Linked DNA regions of Struthio camelus. The protein of the gene in region 1 interacts with the protein of each later gene in a pairwise test. Links are inferred from orthologs where the notes say so. Each region holds a gene or a part of one and is shown on either strand. Other genes may lie near its edges. The genes, in order: ZNF410, SERTA domain-containing protein 1-like and TSGA10.

Region 1 (9,690 bases):
CGTTCACCTATTTTCTGATTGTCAGAAGTTTCTTCACGAGCACAGCTGGGTAGGTACTTTTTACATAAATTCTTTTTAAAAAGTTATTTCACAAATACACACATGCTACCTATATAATACATTTCTTCTTTAGACTACAAAGAAAAATAAATTTGTCTGCTCTCATTTTTGCTTACTTGGAAAGGGCTAGTGACAGGAGAAGGAAGCAAACTACAGTTCTCCTTGCATCACAATCACAAATCCTATTGAATCAATTCCAAAACATAATGGTAATACTGTATAAGCAAAGAAAAAAAAAAACCTAAACTTGAAAGCCTTCCCCTAGCACTCCCAACAAGCAGGTTGAGCAACACGCTCAGTACAGGGACCTCACCCTCTGCCAGCCGTCTAGCGACAACAGAGTAAGCACAGCGAGAACAGAATAAATCAGACTAGGAAACAGAAACCGCGGCTGGGGGATACTCCCGTTCGCTCGCCCGCCGCCCTCTCTCAGTCTGCACCCGGCATGGCGGCGCCCCGCGGGCCGAGGCTGCGGGGGCGGCAGGTCCGGCTCCCCGGCGCCTCAACGGGGAGGGCCCCGCGGGGTGGGAGGGGGGGGCGGCGGGCACCGGCCCCGCTGCCGCGGGTCGGACCAGGACTGCGGGGGGGGGGCGGCCCGGCAGCGGCCCTCCCCCCCCGGGGCAGGTGCGCCGCCCCTCCCCCCCCCCGCGGCCGGTGCGCCGCCGCGAGGGACGGGACGGGACGGCCCCTCCCCACCCGGGAGATCGCCCCTTCCCCACTCGGGAGGCCGGCCCTTCCCCCGCTCCGCAGCCTGCTCGGCCCCGGTGCCCCGCAGGGGGGCGGCGAGTCCCGGGGAGGCGGCCCCGGCCCCCCCCCGCGGTTCTTACCGGCATCTCAGAGCCTCCCGGATGTGACGCAGTGTCGAACCGGAAATGCCAGGGCTGGGGGTTTCGCCCCACCCTTCCAGCTCTATGGTAAGCGCGGCGAGGAGCGCCCCTTCCGCCCCGCTGCCCTCACTTCCGGCCGCCGCCGCCGGGCCCTCGGGAGGGGGGAGGTGTCGCCTGGGCTGCCGGGCCGCCCCGGGAGGGCCGGTGTCGGCTCGGTAAGTGGGCGCGTGTGTGGCGCCCTGAGCGCCGCGCTGCGGGAGCGCCTCCCGCGCCGCCTCCCTGGCCGCTGGAGGACAACGGAGCGGCAGTTGGGCGCTCTGCTTTTTCTCCCAAGTAGGGTCCTCGCTAGCGAGCTGCCGCTTCCGTTCGGACCCGCACCAGGGCTGCGGTGTTTACTCCGTGATTCATCTTAAAGTACCCTTTCGAGTTGACAGATTTTTTACAGATGCAGATTAGGTAGGAAGCTTGCAGTCAAGTTCAACTGTTAAGTGCTGCACTTACCTTTTCTCGATATAAATCATCACAAAAGACATTATTTCAGCTTGTTACAGCACATGCAAAAGCACTAGTTTCCCGTTAGTATTTAGTTTGCATTTATGTTGTGCTCCAAATTATAAGTGAACTTCTTGCAGTGGGTCATGGAGAACTCCTAAGTTCACAGCAGCTCCTTAAGTGAAGCATATCAGGTTGGTAAACTCAGAAACCTAACGTGTCTTAACAATGCACCTAACAAAGAAGAAGGGGCTGAGTGAATAATTGCCAAAGCCTGTACCTCATTTTTTCCCTCATTAGCCTTATCTTCATATATCTAGGCTAGCAGGATAGAGCTGCTGAACCAGCGCTGTTTACTGCCTTTCGTCTTGACATTAGCTGCTGAACTGGTGACCTTCATGTCCAGTAAACTTTAACTTGGCTATAGGTATTCTGTAGCTTTAGAAACACACGATTCCTGGCTCCTGTGCCAGAGTTGCGCTGAATGAGCACTGGCAGGCCTGTGTTGGCGTCTGCGCTGCTGAGTAATTAGAATCCCCAGCTGTGTGGAAACCAGCCAGTGGGAGCTGCTGAGGCGGGCAGAGCCTGGTTACTTGGGACTCAGTTGTGTGCACAGCTCAGTTCTGATCCACAGTGGTTGCTCCTCAGGTCTAACTGTTCAGCTCATGGAGGGCTAAGAACTTTGCCTCAATAAAAAGACCCTTGACCAGCTATCTGGTGGAATTGAGCAGTAACTTCCTAAAAGTCTGCAAGCAAGTTGGCTAATCTTTTTTTCTATATATTTACCATGAGTTTGCAGTCACTGCATTAGTACTCACATAAGCCTGCACCTTGAAATCAATTCTCAGTCAAGCTAAAGTACGTTTCTGATGTCAGTGGTGGAGAAAACTGATTCAGCATCCCCAATTGGCAGCCTTATAGCTTTGGTTGTCTTGGCATCATAGTGGCCATGCAAAGGGATGGGGTCAGAGACCTCACAAAGGCTGGTACTATAATATCGAACACTTAGTTATAGCTGAGATGACCTGAAGCTTGAAACAGACCCATTTATTCACTTCAAGTCTACAAAACTGAAGTTATGAGCTACTGAGCTTTAATTTTTAGCATAACCTCAGTAAGCTGAAGAAGCTGAGTACGTGACCATGCAAGCTGCCTGTCTTATGAGAGGCATGACCCCAGCATGCCACATTTGCTGATCCAGTATCATCTAACAAAGGTAACCAGAAACACAGAACTAGTAGCTTCATAAACCATTTTGTCCTGATATCACGTCAGTAATCTCAGGTAATGAATTGTAAAACTTGATTACAGATTACATTAAGATAAAGATATTTGGTAATCCTGGAAGTCCTTTGACTTATTATGAGCCCAGCAACGTAGGGTTGTTGGGCACATATTAAAATATGGAACTATGTAGGAGACTAAGTTCCTTGTATTTGCTTAATTCAGCCAGATGAGTTCAGATGCTTCAGAACTTTCCATCTCCTGCATCTTTACTGCCTGAGGACCTGAGGGCTTAATCTGACAGGGAAATGTGCAGTAATAGTTGCGCAGTACTTCCCTGAGTCATTTATACAGATTCTTATCATTCACACAAGCATGTGAAACAGCACTTGTCCCTGACCAGAGAGGAATTGTCCAGCTGGGAATTTCCCATAATGTTACTTTCTGCTGCTCTGGGATGCTTATCTCTAATAAAAGAGAAACAGGAGGTTCAAATTTATTTCCCCTGTGAACAGATTCAAGAAATAAAATGATACTATTCTCCCCCCCACACACACTGCGAGACAGGGAAAGTGATGGAAGATGGAGTGAATGGAGAGATATGTTGTATGTCTGGCTGTTCATAAGTCTGTTTATAATGTGATGCCATATTCTGAATGCCAACAGGCTTTATGTCTCTTAGCACATCTTTTGTTTTGTGTGTACATTTCTGAACAAATATACAGTATTATGTAAACTCTTGTATTATAATAACATACAGACAGTACTGGATTTTATTTATTTCAATAAAGTTTTAAAGTAAATTCATAAAGCTTATATGAACAATTGAGATTAAATTCACTTTGATGTTCAGCCTTTGCAGAATGAATACTTACCAGATTTTTGAAATCTTTCTGAGTCTGTTTGCACAAGACAAGTATCTTTCCGCTCCTGCACGTCATGTCGGAATGGGCATTACAAAGCCGGCAAGCTTTAAGAAACGGGTAAGATTTCAAAATAGGACACTGGACCACTTGCTAGCGTATCAGTGCAGGCTCATATCCAGCCTTCATCACAAGTCAACTCTTCGCTATGCTTAGCATTTCCTGCACAGTCAGCGTGTTTTCTGCAGTCAGGGTTGGCATCCTGTTGAGGTAATTTTGTTGGCTGAAATCGGAACGTGAGGTCAGGCAGCAGTACCAGCGCCTGCCATGAATCGAAATCCTTTTCCTTCCCCCCCGCCCTGCCACAGCCTGCAGGAGGAAGGAAGTTTCTCCCGCCGCCGGCAGCTCTGAGGCGCTCCTCCGCCAGGCGCCGCGCCGCTCGGAGACGGCCAGGTGCCGCTCGGCCTTGGCGGCGCGCTGCGCGGCGGCCCAGCCCGGCCAATTCGCGTTCGGCTCGGAGGGCGGCGGCGGCCCCTCATCGAGGCGTCGGCGCTGCACGGCCGCAGGGCGGGCCGGGGGGAGGCGGCGCCCCGCTAGCGGGCCTGGAGGGGTTAGCGCCGCGCCGCGCCGCGCCCCCCGCCGAGGCGGTTGGTCCGGCTCCGCCTCCCATTCGAACGGGTGGTATGTTCCATTCCCCTTCCACCCCCCGCCGGGGGTGGCTCCGCCTCCCTGCGCGGCGGCCTCGCCCCGCGAGAACCGAGATCGGTGCCGGCGGGCGCGCTCACCTCACCCTCTCCTGCCGGCTCGGTGGTAGGGTCCCGCCGCGGCGCGGTGGGTAGGGCCCGCTGCGCCTCTCGTCCCCCCCCGGAGGCGGCGCGGGTGGTGCGTCCCGGCAGTAGCCGCGTCCCGGCCGGCGCCCGCCCCCTCCGCCTTGTCATTGATGTTGTTGTTTTTGTCGCAGGAGCCGGAGGCGAGGCCGGGGCCGCCGCCGCCTGTGGCTGCCGCAGCAGCAGCAGCAGCAGGGCCCGGGCCGGCGCCAGGCATGTCGGTGTGCGGGGAGGCGGTGGGCGCCGGCTCCCTGCCCAGCGAGCTGGTGGTGCACATCTTCTCCTTCCTGGCGGGGCCCGACCGGCTGCGGGCCTCGGCCGCCTGCTCGCACTGGCGGGAGTGCCTCTTCTACCCGGCCCTCTGGCCGCGCCTCCGCCTCAGCCTCCGCGTCTCCCCGGCCGAGCGCCCGCGCCTCGAGTTCCTCATGCGCAAGTGCGGCTGGTTCGTGCGCGAGCTCCGCGTCCAGTTCGCCGCCGACAACTACCCCAGCGGCGGCGGCGGCGGCGGCGGGGGGGCGGGCGAAGGTGCCGCGGCGGCGGCCGACGGGGAGGCGCCGCCGCCGCCGCTGTGCCCGCGCTGGCTGGACCTGCTGAGGACCTACCTGGAGCTGGTGCTGTGCGTGCTGAGCAGCGTCCGCAACAACAGGTAGGGCCGGGCGGGGGGCGGGGCGGCCCCTCGCCGCTGAGGGGGATTTCCCGCCGCGGGGCCGGCGGCGGCCGTTGCCCGGCCGGCGGGGAGGCGGCGGCGGCCGCGCGGGGCAGCGGCCGGCGCCGCGGCCACCCGCCGGCGGCGGGGGGAGTCCAGCGCTCGTCTCTGCCCCGACGGGGGCTTGCTGGGGCTTCAGAAAACAAGCGGAGCCTGCAGAAGTGACTCGCTGAGCTGCTGCGGTCCGAGCCGAAGCGTGGCCGTGCTGTGGGAAGTAACCTCCTCCTTACCCTTTTCCGTAGCGTTAAGGCGAATATAAGTACCGAAGTTTATTTGGGAGGCAGCTAGGCTGCACAAGCCATAAACGAAACTATGAAAGCTTCGTTGTCTCCTTTAAGGAAAGAGAAATGCAGCTCAGATGCAGCGCTTCACACTGGGAATTTGGATTTGGCGTGAAACAGGAGATCTCTTTGGCCCAGTTCTGTGTGACTGAGAAAAATGAAACTTGGGAAAAATTAGTGGGAGGGTTAAGGTTGTAGTATTGGTGATGTGTTTCTGGAGGGAGAGGAAGGAAGTACGGCTCTTATTAAAATACTTAACGTTTCCAGCCATGAGGGATCTTGCTGTTTGAAGACTGAGTTTCCATGCCAGCTCTTGTGTTACCTGGTAAATTGAGATTTGCTTCGGCTTTAAACAAGATAAAGTTTTTATTTATTGCAAAACCTTCATTTAGGATTGTCTTAAGCACATTAAACTTAAATAAGTTTTTTCCTGTGCTTTGGACTTAAGATGTGTTTCTGCCCTGCCCTTTCACAGATTTATTTTGACTAAGATACTTAATTTCCTCAGGTTGGAGTTCTTTAGAATTAAAGCACTTACATGCTCTTTATCTTATGTGCGTGTGAAGACCTTTTTTTTTTTTTTTAAATCTGTTCAGAGATCGTCGTAGTACATGGCCTTTAGGCAGCACCTGAGACAGGAAAGCAAGAATTTATTACAGTTAGGTAATGATGCGTTTGGAAAGCCATGCAGATTTCGGGATAGGAAATGGCTAATGTTATTTCCCCTCTGCATGCATACAGTTCCACCTATCTAGAAAATAGGCTGCAAATATTTTGGGGTGTCTTTAGACCAAGTTAGAACTTCTGGATGGCTGTTGGGAAAGCTCTGCAGTTGCATCATGGTATGGCCACCCGCTCATCTTTGATTCCAGAGGGATTAGAGAGTAGTTTGAGGCTTTTCTCTTGCTACAATTCAAAATAAAGAAGCAAGACCTTTAAATGTAATTCCTCGTTTGTTCTAGATGGATGTAAATGTGATGTGTGAGGTCTCACTTTCAGTTCCTTTGCTGTGCTGTGCCTAGCAGGCCAATCCTGTGGTGTAACTGTGATGATTGAGAGCTGCAAACCGTATTTCTGGAAACTAGTCATTGGTCCAGGCTCACTTTTGTGTATAATTTATTTTTTGCCGTGTGAATCCTCTGTGCGTGAATGGTGATTGTCTGTCTTCGTTAGCCTTTCCATAATGCTGCTCTGCCTTTAAGAAGCTTTTGTTTAACTGTTGCTTTTGTGGGGAATCCCACTCGTGTCATAAGTGAAAAATGGTGAAGTGGTGTTGGTAACTTATCAGATCCAAGGCAAATACAGTGACGCGAACGTGGAATTTTTAAGTGAACAATCTCCAGAAACTATTACCTGGGTTTTTCATTGGACAAACTAGACGTTTCTTACTCCCTCTGTATCACTACAGTATGAGACTGTCAAAATTAAATGCATTGCAAACAATCTTTTAAATATATTTTTTATTTTGAAAAAGATTCATTGTTCATGACCTTTTCAGAAACTTGTATGAAGATGCTTGTTTTCTAAAGGTATTTTTGCAGATTCTGTACGCACTTCACTGCTGAAGACTATTGTACAATACTTAGTAGAAATAATTGATTCTCCAGTAGCTATTCTCCAGTAGATTAATACAATTCTAGTGGTAAGATACAGGTAAAAAGTTATCAGCTTTGACAGGATTTTGCATTACTGTATTTTCTTTCTGTCTTCAAATCATTTGCATTCTGCTCTTTTGTTTTGAAATGAATAATTTATGACTGGGGAACACAGAATACCCGGTTATTACAGTAGGCATTTTTTGATGAGCAATTGAAGAGTGGGGGGGGGGGGGCAGAATTTACTTTAAACGCTTGACATTCTATTCAAAATTACTTTCTGCATAGACTCCTTTTTTCCTCTTGAATAGACAAGCTTTAGTCTATTTTTGATGCTCCCCCCCACCTTTTTTTTTCTTGCAAGGTAACTACCAGTAGCTGATTATTCTGCATACTTCTCCATTGAAGACTTGTTTTTAGTTTAACGAGTAGAGTTTTAAGATTGAAATGAGGTAGGAAGGAATACTAACCTATGCCAAATTGCAGTTTGGTTCTTGTTGTGACCGTGTCTCTGAACTGAAGGCGTGCCCTACCTGGTGCTTCTTTTTGTCTGTCTGGTGACACCTGTACTCTCTTCAGCTATACCACTGGTCTGTGGAATGAGACTGTAATCCAGCCTTTACTTCCGTGCTTCTGTGATTATCCCTGTCTTACAGATGAATATAATATTCCTTGTTATGTTTGCAGTATGTCATTGTACATTGGATAGCCATTTAACTTAAAAAAAACTCTTTCCGTTATTTTGGAACCTCTCTAGTGACTTGAATCAGAGTAAATGCATTCCTTTTGGAATTAAGTTGAAAACAGGATGATTCTTTCATAACTCCTGTCAGGTCTTATGGCTATTTGGCAGAGAAATTGAAAGAACTTCCCTCTTACACTTAAGAGCTGAGCTAACAAGAAATCTAATTTTGTAAAACTGCGCGGTGTTCTTAAACTATGTAATCTTATTGCGGGCTTATAAAGTTGCTATTAAACAATACAATAACAACATCACCACCACCCTTCAAGAAAAAATCTTCTTCAGAAGACTCCTTGGCGGTTTATAGTACTGAAGGATCTAAGGCAAGACTTGTCACACTACTCATAAAAATTAATGCAGCTTTTAGATACTTGCTTTGTACAGGATGATGGTGATGTATATTTCTGCTACTAAAAGTATTTGCTTTCTGTACAATATACAGTTGCAGACTTTGCTTAGAAATCTGCACGTTAAGTCTCTTGAAAAATATTTCTGAGCAATCTTTGCTAATTCTGACGGGAAGGATTTAAGGAACTGAACTAAGTGCAGACAAATAGTTAAAAAAACACTAGTAGTATTCTGACAAATATTGCTGCTGACAGTTATCCAAGACGATACTTTCTAGATCTGGTTCATATTTGTGGTAGAGCTTAAGTCACCACAAACTTTGTTTTGTGACTGACAGCATATTGCTCCAAAGCGCTGCTTTAATAACCAAGAGGGTCTGGCCAACCTCTAGAATTCAACGATGTCTTTAATTTAAAAATATTACATTAATGCTTATAGTGATCTCCAAGTAGCTCTTCCATTGGCTAATAAGTTTGAGCTGCTGCCTTTATGACAGCAAATGCAGCAAAATGAAAAAGTATATTATTGTTTAGCTATTAGTATTCTAGTTATATTTCTATTGAAAAGTGTTGTAATAGGATCTGGAGGAACAAGTTGTTTCTTACTGGCTCTTGGGGGAATCCTGGTCATCTGTGCCTTCGCAAACTGATTTTGTAGAACTAAGTTCTAAATTAATGGCAGGTAGGAGGGTGATAAACTTTCCGTGAGTCGTTTCAGTGTATACAGGAGCTAATAAGCAGCTACGGATCATGCAGTAGGAAATTTCTGAGTTCCTTCTTTGTGTAACTGTGAAATCCTAATGTATAGCCTTTCCTCTAGCTGCTAGCAAAAAAAGATAGGAAGGTGTATGGGCCCTGATGGGATGCACCCAAGAGTGCTGAGGGAGCTGGCGGATGTTATCGCTAGGCCACTCTCCATCATCTTGGAAAGGTCCTGGAGATCAGGAGAGGTGCCTGAGGACTGGAAGAAAGCCAATGTCACCCCACTCTTCCAAAAGGGCAAGAAGGAGGAGCCAGGAAACTACAGGCCTGTCAGCCTGACCTCCATCCCTGGCAAGGTGGTGGAACAGCTCCTCCTGGAGGTCCTCACTAAGCATCTGGAGGACAAGAAGGTGATCAGGAGTAGTCAGCATGGATTCACCAAAGGGAAATCATGCTTGACCAAGCTCATAGCCTTCTATGACGGAAGGACTGGCTGGGTAGATGAGGGCAGAGCAGTGGATGTTGTCTCCCTGGACTTCAGCAAGGCTTTGGACACTGTCTCCCATCCCGTCCTCCTAGGTAAGCTCAGGAAGTGTGGGCTAGACGAGTGGACAGTGAGGTGGCTTGAGAACTGGCTGGATGGCCGAGCTCAGAGGGTTGTGGTGAATGGCGCAGAGTCAAGTTGGAGGCCTGTGGCTAGTGGTGTCCCCCAGGGGTCAGTCCTGGGTCCAGTCTTGTTCAACGTATTCATCAGTGACCTGGAGGAAGGGACAGAGTGCACCCTCAGCAAGTTTGCTGATGATACTAAAGTGGGGGGAGAGGCTGGCACACCAGAAGACTGTGCTGCCATTCAGAGGGACCTGGACAGGCTGGAGAGGTGGGCGGAGAGGAACCTCCTGAAGTTCAACAAAGGCAAGTGCAAGGTCCTGCACCTAGGCAGGAATAATCCCATGCACCAGCACAGGCTGGGGCTTGACCTGCTGGAAAGTAGCTCTGCCGAGAAGGACCTGGGAGTGCTGGTGGA
Region 2 (10,270 bases), on another chromosome or scaffold:
GCGCTACCGGGGCCGCCGCGGCGCCGCCCGGGCCCGGCTGGCTCTGCGCACCGGAGCGCGCCGCGGCTCGGCCCCGCCGCCGCCCCGGCAGCCAATCCCGCCGCCGCGCAGGACGCCGGGGGTCGGCCCAGCCCCCGCCCCGCCGCCGGGGCTGCGCCGGGGCCCCCCCAGCCCCGGGCAGCAAGGAGCCGGCCACCGCCGGGTCCCCAGCGGCGACGCGCCCGGGCGGCAAGGAGGCGGCTGGGCGACCGGCCCCCCGCTGCAAACCGGGGCTGGGGGCTGCCGCCCCCCGGGCTCGGCTCGCCCTGCCCTCGGCCGTGCAAACCCCGGGGGTGCCCGGACGGCGATGCACGCACCGGGGATGCAGAGGCCGGGGCTGCACGTACCGCGGTTCACGCACCGGGAGTGCCAGGACCGCGAGTGTACGTACCGGGGCTGCAGTTACCGGGAGTGCACGAACCGGGGTGCACGGAGTGGGGTGCACGTCCCGGGGGTGCAGATCCCAGGGGTGCATTTACCGGCGGTGTACGTACCGGGAGTACACGTACCGGGAGTGCATATACCAGGGGTGCCCGGACTGGCGTGCAAGGACCGGCGTGCAAACCCCGGGGGTGCCCGGACCGGGGTGCACGTCCCGGGGGTGCAAGTCCCAAGGGTGCATTTACCGGCGGTGCACGCACCGGGAGCGAACGTACCGGGCTGCGCGCAGCGGGGGTGCATTTGCCGGCAGTGCAAATCGCGGCGGTGCACCTATCGGGGTGCACCCACCGGGGGGGGCGGCGCTCGGCGGCTCCCCCCGCGCACGGCTCGGCCCGGCGCCCCGCAGCCCGGAGCAGCGGGGCCGGGCGCGGCGAGGGGCCGGTCCGCCGGCGGCCGGCCCCGTGGGTGGAGCGAAGCGGAGGCCCCGCTCCGGTTGCAGCGAGGCGGCGGCACAGCCCGGCCGGCGGGGACACAGCACCCGCGGCCGCTCCGCTCTGCTCCCACCATGGCCACTTGCAAGAACATCGCCATCTTCGGTGCCACCGGCATGACCGGGCTGGCCACGCTGGCACAGGCGCTGGACGCGGGTAAGGGGGGCCGGGGCGCGTGCCCGGTGCGGGGGGTCTGCGCTGCACCCCGCTCGCCCTCCCGAAATCCCCCTCCACCGCCCGCCAAGGCCCCAGCTGCAGCTGCCGCAGCGCAGGCGAGTTCGGCAACGGGAGGCCGGTGGGCGACAGGGGGGTCCCAGGCAGGCCGAGCTCTGCCCTGGGCTCCCGAGGGCACGGTGGTCCCTGCCTCCAGGGCTGGGCACTGTGGGAGCCCCCCGGGGCAGAGCCCGGCCCGCAGGGCCCTGGTGCGCACGGGGTGTCTGTGCCCGCCGCCAGGCCCTGCTGCCCTCGCGCGTGTTGCACATGCAGCCTCTCGGCCAGGAGCCTGGGCCAGGCGGCAGGTGGGAGCCCGCGATAAGGCCGGGCTGGCGTTATCGGGCCGGGCAGCCCCTCGCCGGGGCCGTGCACCCGGCTCTGCCCTCGCCGTCCCCCCCGGCCGGCCCTGCCAGGCTCCGAGCCCAGCAGGAGCTCAGCTCGCTCCGGTCCCCCAGCCCGTGCACGAGGCTGGTGCGCCGAGTCTCCTGCCTCTGCCGGGCCGTGCCGGGCTCAGCACCTGCCCCTCGCAGCCCGGTGTCACCAGGGTGCTTAGCTGGATCCCCAGCTCTGGCACTGGGCACTGCAGGTCGGTCCGTGGGAACCGTGTGCCTCTGAGGCCTGGCCGGGAGCTGGGCAAAGCTGAGAGCCATCCGGGGCAGGCAGAGCCCCTTGGGGACGGACAGACAGAGAGAGCCCTTTAGGGACAGACAGAGCCCCTTGGGGACAGACAGAGCCTGTCTGGGGCAGGCAGAGCCCCTTGGGGACAGACAGAGCCTGTTAGGGACAGACAGAGCCCATCCAGGATGGGCAGAGCCCCCGGGAACCTGCTCGGCCAAAGACCGTCACAGACAGCGTCACGGCAGCCCCACACAGCCCCCGTTTCTGGAGACAATGCTCAGCTCTGTGCAGGAGTTGAGTCCCGGGAAACTCAGCGCAGGTGCCGGCGTGACTGCACCGGCACGGCCCTGCCCCGTGTCCTGCCCCCAAGCGCTTCCCTGCGGGAAGGGGACGGGCTCCGACCTGCTCTCCTCAGCCCCAGGGTGGCTGCGTTTTGGTGCCCCCCCCCGCCCCCCCCCCGCTCCGCAGCAATGTGGAAGAGGGTTTGGGGCCCTGCGTCCTGGGTGCAGGTGGAAGCGCCCGGAGAGGTGCTGGCCGAGGACTCCTGGGCCCTGGGTTGTGCGCCAGGACGCCTGGGCCCTCCTCCCTGCCCGGCCCGTGACCGGGCACGTGAGCTGGGGCCAAACGCTTCCCCTCCGGGCGCCTCGTTTCCCCCTGCGCCAGGAGGAGGATGGGGAAGTGCCGGCCAAGGGTGACCCACAGGCCGGCTCGGGGCGGCGGAGGCTCCGCACCCCCCGGCCCGTCGCCGAGCCGGCGCCCAGGGCAGGCGCCCGCCGCGCGCGGTGCTGAGTCACGCCTGGCCAGAGCTGACTCATCATCCCGCGGCCGGGCCGGGGAGGTGGACACCTCCGCGGGAGCGCTCGGCCCCTCGGCGCCCTCCGCCGCCCCCCAGGGCCTCGGGCCCCCCCAGCACCCCGCACCCTGCCTTGGCACCGGCCTCGTCCCCTGCAGCGGCGCAGCTCGGGGCGCGGGTGCCCCCGGGCACGGAGCCCAGGCGTCCGGGCTGCCGGCCGCTCGCCCACCGGCGCCGTCTCGCGCGCAGGGTACGAGGTGACGGTGCTGGTGCGGGACCCGGCACGGCTGCCCCCCGAGCACCGGCCGGCCCGCGTGGTCGTGGGCGACGTGCTCAACCCCGCCGACGTGGACAAGGCCGTGCAGGGCCAGGACGCCGTCATCATCATCCTGGGCACCCGCAACGACCTGAGTACGGTGACCCCCCGGGGGGGCCCTGCCACCCTGGGCACCCTGCAAACCTGTCCCCCCAGGGCACCCCCTACCCTGCAACCCCGTGACCCTGGGGACCCCCCACACTGTGACCCCATGACCCCAGGGGAACCCCCACCCTGTGACCCCATCACCCTGGGGACCCTGCACCCTGCACCCTGTGAATCCATCACCCTAGGGACACCCCCACCCTGCAACCCCATGGCCCTGGGGGAACCCTCACCTTGCACCCTGCCACCCTCAGCACCCTGCACTCTGCAACCCCATTGCCCTGGGGGACCCCCCCGACCCTGCAACCCCATCATCCTGGGCACTGTGCACCCTGCAACCCCATTGCCCTGGGGGACCCCCCTCCCTGCGACCCTGTCATCCTGGGGACCCCCCCACCCTGCGACCCCATCACCCTGGGCCCCCTGCAGCATGTCAGCCTTGGGACCCTGCACCCTGCAACCCCATTGCCCTGGGCACCCTGCAGCATGTCACCATGGGCACCCCCCACCCTGCAACCCCATTGCCCTGGGGGACCCCCCTCCCTGCGACCCCGTCACCCTGGGGACCCCCCCACCCTGCAGCATGTGAGCCTTGGGACCCTGCACCCTGCAACCCCATTGCCCTGGGGACCCTGCACCCTGCGACCCCGTCACCCTGGGGACCCCCCCACCCTGCAGCCCCACTGCCCCGGGAGACCCAAGCAGCTCCCGAATGCCTCCGCCTGCCCCCCGACACCCGCTCTGCACCCAGGCCCCACCACCATGATGTCCGAGGGCACCAAGAACATCGTGGCGGCCATGAAGGCCCACGGCATTAGGAAGGTGGTCGTGTGCCTGTCGGGTAAGGAGGCTGGGGGGGGCGTCCCCAACCTGGGGGACCCGGATCGGGGAGAAGGAGCCCAGACGTCCAGGTGCTCCCCCATGACGTCTGGGTGGGGGGGCCGGGACGCCGGGATGCTTGCCGGGGTGCTGAGCCCCCGCCTCGCCCCCAGCCTTCCTGATGTGGGACCTGCAGAAGGTGCCCCCCAAGCTGCTGCCGGTGACGGAGGACCACATCCGCATGCACCGCATCCTGCAGGAGTCGGGGCTGGACTGCGTCTCCGTGATGCCGCCGCACATCGCCGGTGCGTGGGGGCGTTGCCGCCGGGGTTGGGGACCGGGCGATTTGGGGGAGATGCTCCGGGATAAACGAGCATCCGGTCCCTTCTCCCGCTGCAGACGACCAGCCGCTGACGGGGGATTACACGGTGACGGTGAACACGTCCGGCGGCTCCCGCGTCATCTCCAAGCACGACCTCGGCCACTTCTTCCTGCAGTGCCTCACCACCTCCGAGTACGACGGCAAGAACGTCTACCTGTCCCGGCACTACCCCAAGGTCTAGGGCGCCCGGCGCGGCGCCTCCCCACCGGGCATCGCTGCCCGGCGCCCACCGGCTTCCCCGGCCCCTGCCACCTCCCTGCGCCGACTAAAGAGCCGCTATTTTTCTGACCGAGCCTGGCCTGACCCTCTGTTAACGCCAGGCTGCGCAGAGCGGGTCGGGCTCAGGGCCGGAGCCGTGCCGGGGTGCTGGATGCGGTGCTGGGGCTCTGCCCCCTGCAGCACCCGTGTCACCCCGTCGGCGTCGGCCGGCATCGCCGTGAGCATCCTCGCTGGCACCTGGTGAGCCCCGTCCGCCCCTCGGGGCTGCCCGGCGCGGGCCGGCCGTCTCCGGGGCGTGCGCCCCAGCGCGGTGAACCGCCTCCTGCCCCATGAGTCAGCCCCGATGCCGATGCCGCGCCGGCTGCGGCCCCGGCAGGACGGGTTGGGCCTGTCGGAGCGGTGCAGGAAAACGCCCCGGTGCCGGTGCCATCCCTCCCCTCCGGCTTCCTGCAGCCAGGCGAGAGGGGCACGCGTCCGCCGGCCTCACGGTGCTGCGTCGCTGCGTTTTGCACCGCCAGCCCTGTGTCGCTGCGTTTTGCACCACCGGCCCCGTGGTGCTGCGTCGCTGCGTTTTGCACCGCGGCGCTGGGGCCTGCCTGCCGCTGACCCTTGGACCCGCCGGGGGCGGTTTGCAGCCGCGACCGCCAGGGCGGAGATAACCTGGCCCGGCCCCGGGGCAACGACAGGCAGCGGGTGCGCGAGTGCCTGGGGCCGGCGCGTGCGTGCACCCCTGCCAGGGCACTCGTCCCAGGGAGGTCACGTCCTTCACCACCCTCCGCTCGGCCCCGGGCCCGTCCCTCTGGCCGTGAACAAGCTGCAGGCTGCAGGGGCGGCCATGCAGCGCGCTCCGCACCCGGCGCCGGAGGTCCCGGTCCAGCCGGGGCAGCTCCCCGGAGGCTAGCAGTACGGGAGCCGGGTGCAGCGGGAGCGGGGCCCGGGGACCCCACAAGCCAGCGGGCTGACAGGCAGTTTCACTTCTGAGCGGCAGTGGTGCTGTTTCGTTTTCCTCTTAAGTCATCTGGGCTCTTAGCCTTCCCCCGGCTCCTGCAGGCTGGAGCACTGCCCACACAGCTGCGCTGCTGCCCCAGGGGCCAGGACGGGGCAGGGGCAGGGGCAGGGGCAGGGCCGGGTGGATTCCCATGGGGGCAGGAAAGGGGCGTGGGGCTGGGTGGGCCCCTGCGGGGCCACGAAGAGATGCACCGGGGCCACAGGCTAGGCCAGGTGCATTTGCCTCCTGCTGCTGCTGCTTTGGGGTGGGAACGGCCAGCTGGGGGGGCTGGTGCCCGGGCTGGGGGGGCCGGGGGGGCTAAGAGCAGGCCCGGCCCCCGCCCGCCCCGGCTGAGCACCCGCAAACTCATCGCACGCGGCCGCCCGCGCCTCCCCCGCCCCCGGGCTGAGTCGCTCACGTCCGCTCTCCGTATGCAGATGAGGCCCGCGCGCCTCAGCCAATCAGGCGCGAGCCCAGCCGGGCCTCCCCCGCCCCGGCCGCGACGTTGGTCCCCGCTTCCGCCCCGCTCTTCTTGTATGCAGATGAGCCTCCCTTCCTCCGTCGCTGATTGGCCGAGCGGCTCCCGGCCCCGCCCCGACAGCCTCCGGGGCGTGGCCTGCGCCGGGCGGGCAGATGTAGCAACTCTCGGGTGGCCGAGTCGGCTGGCGGAGACGGCGAGGGGAGGGGGAGGGGGGCGGGGGATGCCGGCTCCTGATTGGCTGCGCGCAGCGTTCCAGACCCCGCTGATTGGCCCCTGAGGAGCCGGGTATGTAAATGAGGGTCCCCGGGGGTCCCCGCGCGCCGGGTCTGGGGCGCGCGCTGGTCGGGGGGGCCCGGCGAGCGGGCGGCGGAGGGTCCGGCCATGGGCGCCCGGCCGCGGTGACTCACCGGGGAAGGGGCGGAGGCTCCGGGCCGCCGCTGCGTGACTCACCCGCCCCCACGGCTGCCTCTGCCCGCGGGACGGGGACGGGGGGGGCGGCACCGGGGGCTGCACGCCGGCCCGGCGCCCCGGTGCGGTGCGGCGCGGCGCGGCGCGGCGCGGCGGGGCCGGGCTTCCCCCGTGCAATGGTACGGCGAAGGGTGGGGGGCGCCGCCGGGCTCGGGGGCGAGGGACCCCTTCGCAAGCGGGAGTGCCCGCGGTTTGCAAGGGAGAGGGTGGCTGGTTGTTAGGAGGGGTCGTGCGTTTGCAAGGGGGAATCCCCAGGTTGCAAAGGGGGGGGGGCTTTCCCTGGCGTGTTTAGGGGTCCCCGGTTTGCCGGGGGGGTGCATGGCAGGGGGTCCCCAGTTTGCCTGAGAGGGGATCCCTGGTCTGCATGGGGATTGTCTCTGGTTTGCCACAGGGGTCCCCGATCTGCATGGGGGGGGGAATCCCCACTTTGCATGGGGGTCGTCCCCAGTTTGCTGCAGGGGTCCCCGGTTTGCATGGGGGGGAATCCCTGGATTGCATGGTGGAGGGTCCCCGGGTTTGCTCTTGGGGTCCCCAGTTTGCTGTCAGGGTCCCTGGTCTGCATGGGGGGAAATCCCCAGGTCGCAGGAGCTGTCCCTGTTTTCCCTGGATTTCCCGGTTTGCAGGGTGGGTGCGAAGCAGCGGGTGCCCGGCCAGCTGAGCTGCCCCCTTCCAACAGCTGGTGCCGGGGCAAGGGCAGCGGGTTTGGGGCAGGGGCCGTGCTCCCCCTAGGCACTCAGTGGGGGGGCAGGAGCGAAGATGCCATCCTGCAGACACCCCCTGTGCCCGGGGAGCTTTCAGGGGGCAGCGGCACCCTGGGGGGCTGCACCAGGACCCGTCGGGGCTCTCTGGCCGTTGGCAACCTGGAACACATCCCCATCCTCGCTGGGGAGCCCCAAAGGGGCGTGCGGGGCTGTGCCGGCGGCAGGATGCTTGCGGAGCCGGTGCCACGGTGACGGTCGCCCTGGGGCTGCCTGGTCTCCTCCCGGCTGACGAGGACGGGGGTCCCTGCCCGGGGACGCGATCAAGGGGTTCCCGGGCCGTGGGACCACAGCTGTGTCCCCTCCCCGGCAGGCGGCTCCTTCCCGTCCCTGGGGAGCAGCTTTGCGCTTTCGGGGGGGGTATTGGGGCAGCAGGGTGCATGGGAAGGTGACGGGGTGGGTGAGGCTGGGACGCCCCTGGCCGGGTGTCCCCAGGCCTCCACAGAGACGGGGGGGGACCCTGTGTCGTCCCCGCAGCGGACCTGGGCGTCCTGGCCCTTCGGGGTCGGCGTCCCAGCTTTGCAGCCCTCCAGCCCAGGGCTGGGGTGCAGGTGACCTGGGCCCCTGCCGGGGACCTGGCTGGGCCCGGACGCCTGGGCCCTCTCCTGGGGCTGGCCGGCGCTGGCTGCCCGCTCACTCGGCTCGTGGTGACTAAGGCGCCCGCACGGAGGGGGTGGTGGTGTCACCAAGACAACTGCCGTCTGCGTGCAGCGCCAAGCGCCGTGGGAACGGCGAAAAGCCGCTTTTCTGCTGCCGAAAAGCACCCTCATCCCCCCCCCTAGCGCGGCCGATGCCCCTCCGCCCCGGCCATGCCGACCCTCTCCGGCGCCCTCCCGGGGGCCCCGGCGTCCGGGCCGGCCGCGCTGACCCCCTGCCCGCTTTGCTCCCGCAGACCCATGCTGGCCAAGGGTGTGAAGCGGAAGCACGGCGAGATGGAGGACGGGCAGCTGGCGGCCCCCGCTGCGGCCCCGGCCCCCGCCGCCCCCTCCGACTCCCTCTTCAACATCTCCGTGCTGAAGCTGCACCAGAGCCTGCGGCACGTGGAGCCCAACCTGCGCTACCTCGTCCTGGTGGCCAACACCCTCCGGCGCCTCCAGGACCACGCACCGGCGGAGACCCAGGGGCCGGTGCCCCCCGGCCGCCCCCCGGCCGGCCCCGAGCCCCCGGCCGGCCCCGGCGCCGCCTCTCCGGACCGCAGGGACGCCCGGTGCCCGGCGCCCGAGGACGAGCTGCTGCTCTCCGGCTGGGACGCTTCGCTCTGCGCCTCCCTCTCGGGCGGGCTGGAGGGCGCCGAGACACCCGGCGGCACCCCGGGCCCCCCCGCGCCGCCCCAGGACGACGCGCCGCCCGACGTCCCGCGGCCCCCGCACCCCTTCTTCGCCCCCCTGGAGCTGCTCGGCTCCACCGGCTCGCTGCTGGAGGACAGCCTGGAGGGCATCTTCGAGGACATCGACACCTCCATGTACGACTGCGACGTCTGGTCCCCCGCCAGCCTGGCCGGCTTCAAAGCCTTCTCCGGGGCGGACGAGGAGGGCCAGGACGGGGGTCGCCTGGACATGGACGACTTGGACTACCTGATGGACGTGCTGGTGGGCACCCACGCCCTCTGAGGGGCCCCCGTTTTAACTTATTCTGGACTCGGGCCGGGCACCGCGCGGCGCGGGTGCCGCCAGCCCGCAGCGTGCACCGGGACGATGCACCGTGCGTGGCACCAGCCCAGCGCGCTGCACCGCTGCGGAGCCGGGGCTGCGATCCTGCCTCCTCCCGGGGGGCCGGGACCCCTGGCTGCAGCCCTGCGATGCTGGGGAGAGGCTGGGGGCTGCTCTGTGTGGTGACGGGCTCCCTGCGTGGTGCCGGGCTGCTTCATGCAGTTCTGGGCTGCTCGGCGCGGTTCTAGGCTCCCTGTGCGGTTCCAGGCTGCCCCACGTGGTTCTGGGCTGCTCCGTGCGGTGCCGGGCTGCTCGTGGGCGCAGAGCTGCAGGAGCCGCTGGCTCGGCCGGAGCCGAGGGACGGTTCAAGCAAGCAGGTTTGGGGGGCGGCGTCGCCCCTGCCCGGGGCAGTGGGTTGGGGACCTGCAGGGCAGTGGGGGCCCCGCGGGGACGTCGGCTGGGCGCGCTGCCGCGAACTGTGCGCTGCTTGGAAACGAGGATAATATATACCCGACCGGCGCCTGGCTGCCTCCTGCGACCGTGCACCGCCGCGGGGCCCGCTCTCCTGGCCCCCAGCTGAGTCCGGATGCAGGGAGGTGCTGCGGGATGCAGGGGGGTGCATGGGATGCGGGGATGTCCCGCGGGATGCAGGGGGGTGCGTGGGATGCAGGGATGTCCCATGGGATGTGGGGATGTCCTGTGGGATGCAGCGAGGTGCTGCGGGATGCGGGGATGTCCCATGGGATGCAGGGACATCCTGCAGGATGTGGGGATGTCTGATGGGACACAGGGAGGTGCTGTGGGATGCAGGGACGTCTCGTGGGATGTGGGGAGGTGCTGCGGGATGCAGGGATGTCCCACGGGATGCCGGGAGGTGCTGCAGGACACGGGGACGTCTCGCAGGATGAGGGGACATGCCATGGCACAGCCCAATTCCTGGACCCATAGCGCTGTCCCCATCCCTGCATGGGGGTGGAGGGTGATGCCCGGACACCTGGGCCCCCTGCCCTAGGGGACGCCGCCGCCGGGGTGCCGCGGGCTCGGCTCCGGCCAGGCGGCAGCGGGACGGGAAGTGATTCAGGCCGGCGGCAGCCTGCGGAGCCGAGCCCGGCTTCCTGGGCTGAGTCAGCCGCTCCGGCGCGGCTCGGCCGGGCGCCGCGCGGGGCCCGGGGACGATGCCCTGTGGGGGGACCGGGGGCAGAGTCCGACCCCGGCTCGGCGGCCGGCCGCCACTGCTTGGGGCTTTGCACCAGTCCGGCTGGGGGGTGGGAATGGGAAGGTGGAAACCGGCCCTGGAGGCCGCGGCTCCAGCCGGGAAGGGCTCGTGCGAGGCCCCGAGTGTGGTGGTGCCCGGCGCCGGCAGCCGCGGAGGAAGTGACACAGCCCCGAGGAATGATGGCACCCGCCCGCGCCCCGAGCCGCCGGGGAGGCTCCGGCACCGCCAGCCCGGAGCCGGCCCTGCTGCCGGGGGCGCCCCGAGCCCTGCTCAGGACTATGCGGGACCCCCGGGCACCCAGCCCTGCTCAGGGGTGCAGGACCCCATGGGTGCA
Region 3 (9,586 bases), on another chromosome or scaffold:
GCAACAGGATGCAACTTTACATTAAGACCACTCTAAGCTTCATGTAGCTCTAAATGACCCTTGCAGCAGGCTTTTTAGCATGACCAAAAGTATTAACAGTTAGTAACTTCTTTTGACTGATTTAGTACACACAGCTATTTTGGGGTTCTAAGTATTTCTGAGATTAATCATTTAAGATACTCCTCTTCTTCCACTCTTACACAGTGAGCACAGCAACAGCATCTGAATGGTAGCTTCCTCAATATAAGTAATTTATAAAGAGATATTTTTTATTTTAAATTGGCATCCCATACATCATGCAGAGCACAGACTTTTACAGTATTCAAGCACAGTATTTAATGGAATTCAGACTAAAAATTTAAAGCAGAAAAGTAAAACAGAACCTTCAAATTCAGATTACGGATTGTTTTGTCTTTGTTCTTAATCCAGCATTCCAATTTAGAAGATTTCTCACTTTTAGAAACTGGGTCTCCTAAACCAAAATTGTCTTCTCATACTGTTATCTTTTGAAAGAATAAAAAATAGTGTAATTATTTCCAGTGTTTTGGCATGTCAGTTTTGTACCTGGTGATAAAATGAATCACTTTGAAAGAGAAGAGTGATATGCTCCTACAGATGTTTGCCTTAGTATTAGTCTAAAGAAAAAACAGAAATACACTCAAAATAGAACCTTTCAGAGTATGCAGCAATCATTTAAAAAAAAAAAATTACCACTGGAAAATAAGACTGAGAATTGACTACAGCCCCAAATTATGTGAATGTGGATTGCAGCATATTAAATACATGCAATGATCTTATAAGCGTACAGAAGTGCTTGGCTTTCGATGTACTATAACATAATTTTCACTGCATACAAATATTTGAAAACTTGGGCTTTCCAGGGCAGGAAATGTTTGCTATGCTTCTGATCAACCGTGTCAAACAATGTAGTTAGATCCCAGAATCCAAAAAGAGGATGATAAAGCACGTACTATTCAATCATACCATATAACGTGGACAAACATTTTTAAAATTCATTTCAAATGTTGGTTCACCCAAACCTCGTCCTCTAAAATACTACATAGAAAATGAGTAGAAAACCTATCCTTAAAGAAGCAGCAAAAAAAAAAAAAAATCCAAAGCACTTTGAATTTCAGAGGCATAATCCTGCCTCAGGTAAATTTAATAGGATTTTATCAGGGATCGCAAAGGACTGCACTTGTATGACATACCATGTTCAAACAAAAGAGACACAAAAAACATCACAAAAGTGAATGTGACAGTATTTTCTAGTACATTAACATTTATTAGACAGAAAATCACTAAAGTCAGTGACAAAACTCATGGGATCCAACCACAGACTCGAAAAAAAAAAAAATCCCAAACCTGAATCATTCACTTTTTAAATTCAGAATCACTTGCAACAGAGACTGAACATATACAATAGGTCTATTGGTCAATACAGAATCACAGAGTAGTGGAGGCTGCAAGGGACCTCTGGAGATCATCTGGTCCAACCCCCCTGCTCAAGCAGGGTCACCTACAGCAGGTTGCCCAAGTCCATATCAAATTGGCTTTGGAGAATCTCCAAGCATGGAGACTCTACAACCTCTCCGCGCAACCTGTTCCAGGGTTCAGCCACCCTCACAGTGAAGTGTTTTCTTGTGTCCAGATGGAATTTCCTGTGTTTTAGTTTGTACCCACTGCCTCCTGTCCTGTCACGGGACACCACTGAAAAGAGTCTGGTTCCACCTTCTTTATACCCTCCCATCAGATATTTATACCCATTGATGAGATGCCCCTGAGCCTTCTCTTCTCCAGGCTAAACAATCCCAGCTCTTTCAGCCTCTCTTTGTACGACAGACGCTCCAGTCCCTTAATCAGCTTCATGGCTCTTTGCTGGACTTGCTCCAGTATGCTCATGTCCTTCTTGTGCTGGAGAGCCCAGACCTGGACAACAGTACTCCACATGTAGTCTCACCAGTGAGGAATAAATGGGAACAACCGCCTCCCTCAAGCTACCGTCTACACCCTTCTCAGTGCAACCCAAGATGCTGTTGGCATTCTTTGCCGCAAGGGCGCATTGCTGGCTCACGTTCAACTTGTCCACCAGGACTCCCCAGTCCTTCTCTACAAAGCTGCTTTCCAGCTAGTTGGCCCCAGCATGTATTGGTGCATGGGGTTATTCCTCTCCAGGTGCAGGACTTGGCCTTTCCCTTTGTTGAACTTGATGAGATACCTGTCAAGGTCCCTCTGAATGGCAGCACACCCATCTGGTGTGTCAACCACTTCTCCCAGTTTTGTATAATCTGCCTCATGCTGAGAATGCACTTTGTCCCATCATCCATGTCATTAATGAAAACGTTAAACAGTACTGGCTCCAGTATTGACCCCTGTGGTACACCACTAGTGACTGGCCTCCAGCTGGATTACAACCCTCAGAGCCAATCCCAGCAGTTCAGCTAGTTTTCAGTCCGCCTCACGATCCATTTATCTAGCTTGTACTTCCTCAGTTTGTCTTTAAGGATGTTATGCGAGATAGTGTTGAAAGCCCTACAGAAGTCAGGATAAACAAACATCTACTGCTCTCCCCTCATCCATCAAGCCAGTTATCTCATCATAGAAGACTATCAGGTTGGTCAAGCATGATTTCCCTTCATAAATCCCTGCTGACTTCTCCCAATATTGTCCTTAGTATGTTTCAAAATGGTTTCCAGGAGTATTTGCTCCATCACCTTCCCAGAGATCAAGGTGAGGCTGTCCAGCCTGTTGTTCCCTTGATCCTCCTTCCTGCAGGCAAGAGTGATGTGCTTTCTTCCCATTCTTAGGAACCTCCTATGACTGCTGTGACCTTTCAAAGATAATTGAGAAGGGCCTTACAATGGCATTGGCCAGCTCCCTCAGCACTTGAACGTGCATCTCATCAGGTCCCTTGGACTTGCAAACATTCAGATTGTTTAATTGTTCCCTAATCTGATCCTCCTCCACCAAGGGCAAGTCTTCCTTGAACGAGGCTTTCCCAGTGGTCTCAGGGACACAGGATTCCCCAATGCAGGATTTACCAGTAAAGACTGAGGCAAAAGCGGCATTGAGTACCTCGGCCTTTTCTGTCCTTTGTCATGAGGTCTTCCACCCCATTCAGGAGTGGGCCCTCATTTTCCCTAGTCTTCTTTTTGCTGCTGAGATACCCACATAAGCCTTTCTTGTTGCCCTTCATGTCCCTCGTCAGACTCAACTCCAGATGGCCTTTGGCTTTCCTAACCCCATCCCTGCATGCTTGGACAGTGTCCCTAAATTCCTCCCCAACCTCCATCTCCAACTGGTTTTTCCCTTTTTTGCAAGGATCAGATCCAGCAGAGCACCTCCTCTCATCAACTCCTTGATCACTTGTGTCAAGAAGTTGTCACCAGTGCACTCCAGAAACCTCCTGAATTGCTTGTGCCTTGCTGTGTTGTCCCTCCAGCAGATATTAGGGTAGTGAAAGTCCCTTATGAGGCCCAGGGCCTGTGAATATGAGGCTTCCTCCAGTGTCTGAAGAAGTCTTCATCTACTTCTTCCTGACCAGGTGGTCTGTGGCAGACACCCACAACATCACCTGTGCTGGTCTGCCTGCTAATCCTCACTGATAAGCTCTCAACTGGCACGTCATCCATCCCTAGGCAGAGCTCCATGCAATCCAGCTGTTCCCTCATAAAGGACAACTCCCCCTCCCCACTGTCCTGGCCCATCCTTCCTAAAGAGCCTGTATCCATCCATTGCAGCCCTATAGTCATGTGAGCTATCCCACCATATCTCTGTGATCCCACTGAGATCATAGCCTCGTTTGTAACTGCATGCCAACCTCTAACTCCTCCTGTTTGTTCCCCAGAGTACTATTAAATACTGCAAAATGAACCTGGCTGATCCTATAAAAACAACAGTAGTTTTCACAATGCCTTAAAGAATGCTGCTTGTATACTGCAAAACATACTATTTCCTTTAAAAACAAAGTATGTGTGTATGTATAAACGTATTAAAAAGCGATATATGTAGCAACATGGTGAGCATGTGATTTTTACTCGGGACCAATGAATTCTGATTTTTCATTGAAAAATTGTGCATTTTGCCAGTACAACACTGAGTGTGCAAAGACAAGCATATATACATGCCTACAATTAAATATCAAACAAACACTTGCAAAAAAAAAAAAAAAAACCCAAAAAGTGCGATCATCTGAAAACCAACCAAACTGTGTCTCTAAGAAAACACAGAAAACGAAACAACGCTCCTCCCAGCCCTCTCGTCTTGTTACTTGGCGGTTCAATCTGCCATCACCACGGCAGTTAAGACCCTCTGACTCTCAGGCGGCCTCCACTTCGCTGCCTTATAAACTACCTGCTGAGGTTTTCGTCCCCAGCGTTGCGGCCCTATCCGGTGTAAAAACCGGCGGTGCCTCTCGCCCTCGCGAGAGGAGGGACGGACGGAGGGTCAGGGGCAGGCCTGCAGGAGCGTTTCCCGAGGCCAGCCCCACCGGGTCTCTACCTTGCGGCGACCCTCCACGCTCCTCCTCCGGCGCCCTGGGGACCGCCGGGCGCTCATGGCGGCTGCCCGGGACGGGCGAGGCACCCGCGGCTCCCACCGCCCTGCCCGGCCGGCCGGCCGGCACCGGGCACTCACCCGCCGCGCGCGCCCAAGCTGCCTCGTCCCTGCTGGCCACGGGCGGGGGCGGGGAAGGGCAAGGGGGGGCGGGGAGGGGGAGGGGAAGGAGAGGCGTCGCTGCCCAACGGTCGCGCCCCGCGCCGCGGGCTGCCGCGCGCTCGCCCAACCGCTCCTGGCAGCCCGCCGCCGGCGGCCGCGCGCGCGGGCGTTCTGTGCCCCCTCCCCCCCGCCCCGACACGCGCGCGCCCTCGCCCGCCGTTAACGGCCCCCAGAGAGCCAGGCCGGGCCGGGCCAGGGCCGTAGCAACGGTGCCGCCTGCTCCCCCGCGAGGCCGGGGGGGGGGGGAGCAGTGCGGCCCCGCTGGTCCGGCCTCACGGGCTCATTCCCAAAGGAAGGGGGAGAGCACAGCTTTGACAGAGCGCGTAGAAAAGGGGCAAGAAACAACGGAAAGGGTTGGAAGGGGGCAGAAAGGAACAGAAAAGCCTTAGGTAGGAAAGACTGATCTTCTGAAAACAGCCTTCCTTTAATTAAATCTTCTCTCCAGAACCCATCTCATAGGTATTTGTAAGATATATATACCAGTTGTATGGTCCAGAATAAACTATTGCTATCTTTAACATTACACCTATGTCATGATGTCGTCAAGCATTAGCTTTGCACGTATGATAAAATCTCAGACGCAGCTCATTGCTGCTTTTAGGATACTTGGTGCTAAGACTAATTTATTAACTCGTATACCAACACTGCAAAGTTGGAATGTTAAGGCATTACAAGGCTAATCATGTTTATTCTTTATCTCACTAACAGAATCTTATGAAAGAAATGATTTCTTATGTTCTCTTATACCCCAAGACAGGAGTTCTACTTTACAACACCTCTAGCACATCTCTTCTTGGAATAGCGCAGACGGGAATGAATAAAGGCTCTGGCGCCTTTAAAGAAAGCGAAGTGACAAGGATAAGGAGGCTGTTTGAATCCTATGACTCCTATTACCTGCTCCTGTCTGCAATGGTTATAAACATAAGAGTCCTTGAAAGAGACTCAAAGACGGTCTCAAAGTCAAGCTGATAGGCTGGAAGAAAATGTTCTCCCTTACCTATGACGTACTAGCACAGATTTTATATTCTGGAGACAGCGCCTAAATTTTAGGCAAGCTGCCATCAGGAAGTATTCACAGAAAGAGCTCATACCTTTTTGGAGAAAAAGGGATAGTAATACCTTTGAAATAGGACCCACCCAAAGACAGGGAAGAAATTGGAAGGTTTGAACTTCCAGAAAACAGCAACAGAAACAGTCCTCTTCGCATCTTGTATTCCTTACAGGTCTTACTTTCTGACCTTGGTACGCTGGAAATCATCGAGAGAAGACTCTGCATTATCTAATATTTATCTCTGAAAGAAAGATAGCATTTCAGATTTTCATAACCTTACCCAAACTCTTCCTCATTAAAAATAATTTTAGGAGTGAAATTATGTATGTTTAGTTAGTTTTGTTTGGTATTTCTGTGTTTTTCTCTAAGTGATGTATGGTGAATTCTCTTGTAAACATTAACGCTGGCTAATGCTGTTAGCAAAACAGTTGTGTTGCTTTTTATGCACCAAACTAGTAAGTCTAATAATATAATCTAATAGACTTTCTATTTCAAGACCTATTATTTGGCAATCTATAATGCAATTTTAACATCGATAAACGTTTCCTATTATGTAGTTCTCTGGCAACATGTTACCACATACACTGAATTCCTACAGCATCCTACGTTAACTTCCCATTGTTTATTTTAAGGTATTTGGATAATATTCTGAAATAAAATATTCTTCTTAGAGATTAAAAACTCAAGCATGGAGATTTCTTCCTTCCTTATACTCTTTCTGTTCCTGTTCACAAATTTGTACTTTCTGTTTATTGCTAAAATACTTTATTTTGCTGGGTTGGTCCTCAACAATACCTACTTTTTCAGGAACAGTATTTGTTAATGCATGTGCATTTTATCCTTCAGCATATGAGAAACAGGTCCAGGACATTTTTAAATGTTCAGCTAATGTCCTGCACACTTTACGTTTTAGCAAATTCTAGTTCTAATTAAGTGAAAGAATTCCATGGTTAGGCCCACAGTTCTCAACTTGAGAAACAAGGAGTATGACAGCTGAGAGTATGCTTTTTAGTGACACCTCATGGCAAAATGGAAAACAACATACTGCAAATTTCCAAAAGTTAAGTGCCAAAATGTAAACAAATGCTCTGGCATTTTCTTTTTTAGTAACATCAAAAGTCCCACAAGATGCATTTCACTTCCTCTGACAGCATGAATGGATCCAGGCTCATTTTTGCATTCTGCTACCTGCCTCAAATACTGATTTCCCAATATTCTGAGCACTAAAAGGGAAGTATTTGTATAGACAATGTCCAAGTGCTTTTTGCCCTATGCATTATAGAGTAATTCACCCCAGTGCAAAGTTGAATTGCCACCAGCCTGATTTACTGACAAGTTATGCCCGTTTTGAATGGCTCAAAACAACTACTTCTTTTTTAAGAAAACCCACTAACCATCACCGACACATCAGGGCATCATGATCTTACTGGCTGCTTTCAACATGCAGCTGTTGACCTCTTGGCCTCAATTTGCTGCCCTGAAGCATTCCTTATAGCTGTTGTTTTCTGGAACTGAAGACCCATTCTGAAATTACACTGGACATATCTATTCACAAATTCAAGTTCCTAACAGCAACTCTAGTATTAATGACTTTCTTGCTACAGAGAAAGTTCACATCAAGATGCTTGCTTCCATGTTTTGACTGGGGCTATGTATCCTAATTACATTCTAATTGAAGAAGAGTATGGGGACTTACCCACCTCTGACATTTGTTTTTAAAGGATGTATCCAGAAGAGGTACCAACGCAGTGAAACACACTGTGGATCTTATGGATTTTATCCTTAAGATATCCATACTCTTTGCACTTGAAGAAGCCCAAATCCCATCTAATCTGAGTTCATAAATAGTACACTGGACCTCATGTGACTAGAGCATATTTCTTACAGTATAACTTTGTGACATTGTTAAAAGTGCTGGTAAAATTATTAGACCAACATCTCTGTAAGTCTGCCTCACCATGCTGCATCCGAAGCGAGTATTTATGCCATGCCAAAAACAAGGATGTACATGTAAGACATTCAGTTGTGGCTTGGAAGGTTCATTCACCCGTGTGTCATCTAGTGCGACGCCAGATTTCTCAAGGGATATTTAATACTTCACTGCAGTGCATGGATCTGACCAGTGTTCTAGATGGAATACCCTTCTGCTGCTGCTTTCAACAGAAAATGCCAGTCCTTCTGCTCGAGGCTAGGCTCTGTTAGATGCTTTTTTAATCCTGTTGTCAAGGTTGATGAGTGCTTCTCTACACTACCAATTATGACTACTCTTCAGAAGCAAGGTGTGACAGGGCAAGAATCATCTTGTCAACCCGTACCAGCCAAGGCACAACTGATTTCAGAATCCCCCACAACCAAAACAGCTGCCTTCGGTTTTAGATATCCTTACTGTGAGCTCTCCAGGTCAGAGCATGAATTTTAGATGTCTTCTGGATCTACAAAGTATTTGCCACCCCCTAAATGAAAAATATTTTAGTCAGCACTAGAAAGAATTTATCATGCAACCCTATACCACTAAATGAGCTAGAGTCTCGGCATTGTGTTTGTGAAAGATGATCTCTTCTTCTTTGCCCATACTGTAGATAATTGGCTGAAGCTGGACCTCTCAGTGCATCAGTAAAGGTCCATTTGGCTGTCTTTATAAACACTGCACTTATGTGATAATGGGTTCTTTATCTCACCCTACTACACCTATGCACTTCTTTTAGGAGTTTGGTAAGGAAAGTTCTCGCTCTTAAGGATCCAGTTCTCTGGCAGGAAATAACTTCAAGCTTGTATCTTTAATCTTGAAAGCCTGTCACCCTTTGTCTGCTTTTTTCTCCTTTACCTTTCAGCAAAGACAGCTGTTCTAGTATTGTTACTTCAATTAGACAGTACAGGCAATTTGGGCTCCATTATAAAGTTTTCTTTATTGGTAAAGTCACCATATGAATACCCAATTACATACCCCAACTCAACTGCTTCCTCAAATGATTTCACTGTTTCATCCGAACAAAAACATGAACGTAGTGTTTTTTCCCAAGTCACCTATTTCTAGAAGTAGAAAGAAGAAAGATTACTTGTCTGTAACCGGTCTTCAAGAGGAATCACCTGTGTGAATTCTCATGACCCAGTGCCCCAACCTTTCTCCTCTACAATTCCTTCATGTCTTAGGACTCTAGCGTTGAAAGGAAATGACACAAAAGCACGCAATACCTCCTTTGTGAATACGTATACACCACCTGGAGGTGTGCAGCACAGTTTTGCCCATATGGATACCGACAAAAATTTTAATCAGTAGTACTGAGAATAGGCCTACTGGGTAAATCAAATACGGACAACAGCTCTGGAAGAACAGTTTAGGCTAAGGTCTGGGAGACTTTACGAATGGCTTAAATCAATACAAATCTGAAGACAATCTGTCGTCTGCAATATGTCTTTAATTATCTCGCCTTTGTTCGTTTCCAGCTCATTCACCAATTATGCCATCAACATTTACTTTCTGTATCTCCCTGGATGCCTTTTACGTACTTGACAGGCCTCAGTGCATTTGTGAGAACGCGTTCAAGTCTCCCTTTGAACTTAGGGTGAACTTATGGATGCCTCTAGCACCCGCAACATCCTGTGGCAAGAGACTGCATCGCCGCGGGGTCCAGCGCAAAGAACCATCTGCTTTTATCTGTTGTGAACCTGCCTCCTGCTGGCATAACCTGATAATCCGCAGTTACTGCGTTGAGAGAGGCAGTGAAGACCAACACCTACCTACCTCCTTCGATGCCACGTACAATTGCAGAACCCTCTGCCACAGTCCCCCCCTTGGGAGTTTCTTTGTTTAAACCAGGC

Evidence for each region.
Region 2: the proteins of ZNF410 (region 1) and SERTA domain-containing protein 1-like interact in binary tests that used the Homo sapiens proteins (3 or more experiments, as listed by UniProt). The two-hybrid records come from large-scale screens. The link is inferred for Struthio camelus from reciprocal best matches to the Homo sapiens genes ZNF410 and SERTAD1.
Region 3: the proteins of ZNF410 (region 1) and TSGA10 interact in binary tests that used the Homo sapiens proteins (3 or more experiments, as listed by UniProt). The two-hybrid records come from large-scale screens. The link is inferred for Struthio camelus from reciprocal best matches to the Homo sapiens genes ZNF410 and TSGA10.

Annotation. Positions count from the first base shown.
Region 1 is NC_090946.1:57,210,990-57,220,679, reverse strand, and holds the start of ZNF410 (zinc finger protein 410), read right to left. Parts: upstream 4,108-9,690; 5' UTR 3,479-4,107; intron 1,007-3,478; exon of another isoform or gene 888-1,006; intron 1-887. Other genes in the region: FBXO33 (F-box only protein 33), read left to right, coding at 4,509-4,939. UniProt on the Homo sapiens protein: Transcription factor that binds to the sequence motif 5'-CATCCCATAATA-3', and is specifically required to silence expression of fetal hemoglobin in adult erythroid cells.
Region 2 is NC_090957.1:421,658-431,927, forward strand, and holds SERTA domain-containing protein 1-like, read left to right. Parts: upstream 1-5,973; 5' UTR 5,974-6,130; intron 6,131-7,963; 5' UTR 7,964-7,967; coding exon 7,968-8,681; 3' UTR 8,682-9,239; downstream 9,240-10,270. Other genes in the region: BLVRB (flavin reductase (NADPH)), read left to right, coding at 986-1,067, 2,785-2,946, 3,708-3,797, 3,949-4,080, 4,175-4,338. UniProt on the Homo sapiens protein: Acts at E2F-responsive promoters as coregulator to integrate signals provided by PHD- and/or bromodomain-containing transcription factors. Stimulates E2F1/TFDP1 transcriptional activity.
Region 3 is NC_090942.1:151,239,259-151,248,844, forward strand, and holds the start of TSGA10 (testis-specific gene 10 protein), read right to left. Parts: upstream 4,699-9,586; 5' UTR 4,636-4,698; intron 1-4,635. UniProt on the Homo sapiens protein: Plays a role in spermatogenesis. When overexpressed, prevents nuclear localization of HIF1A.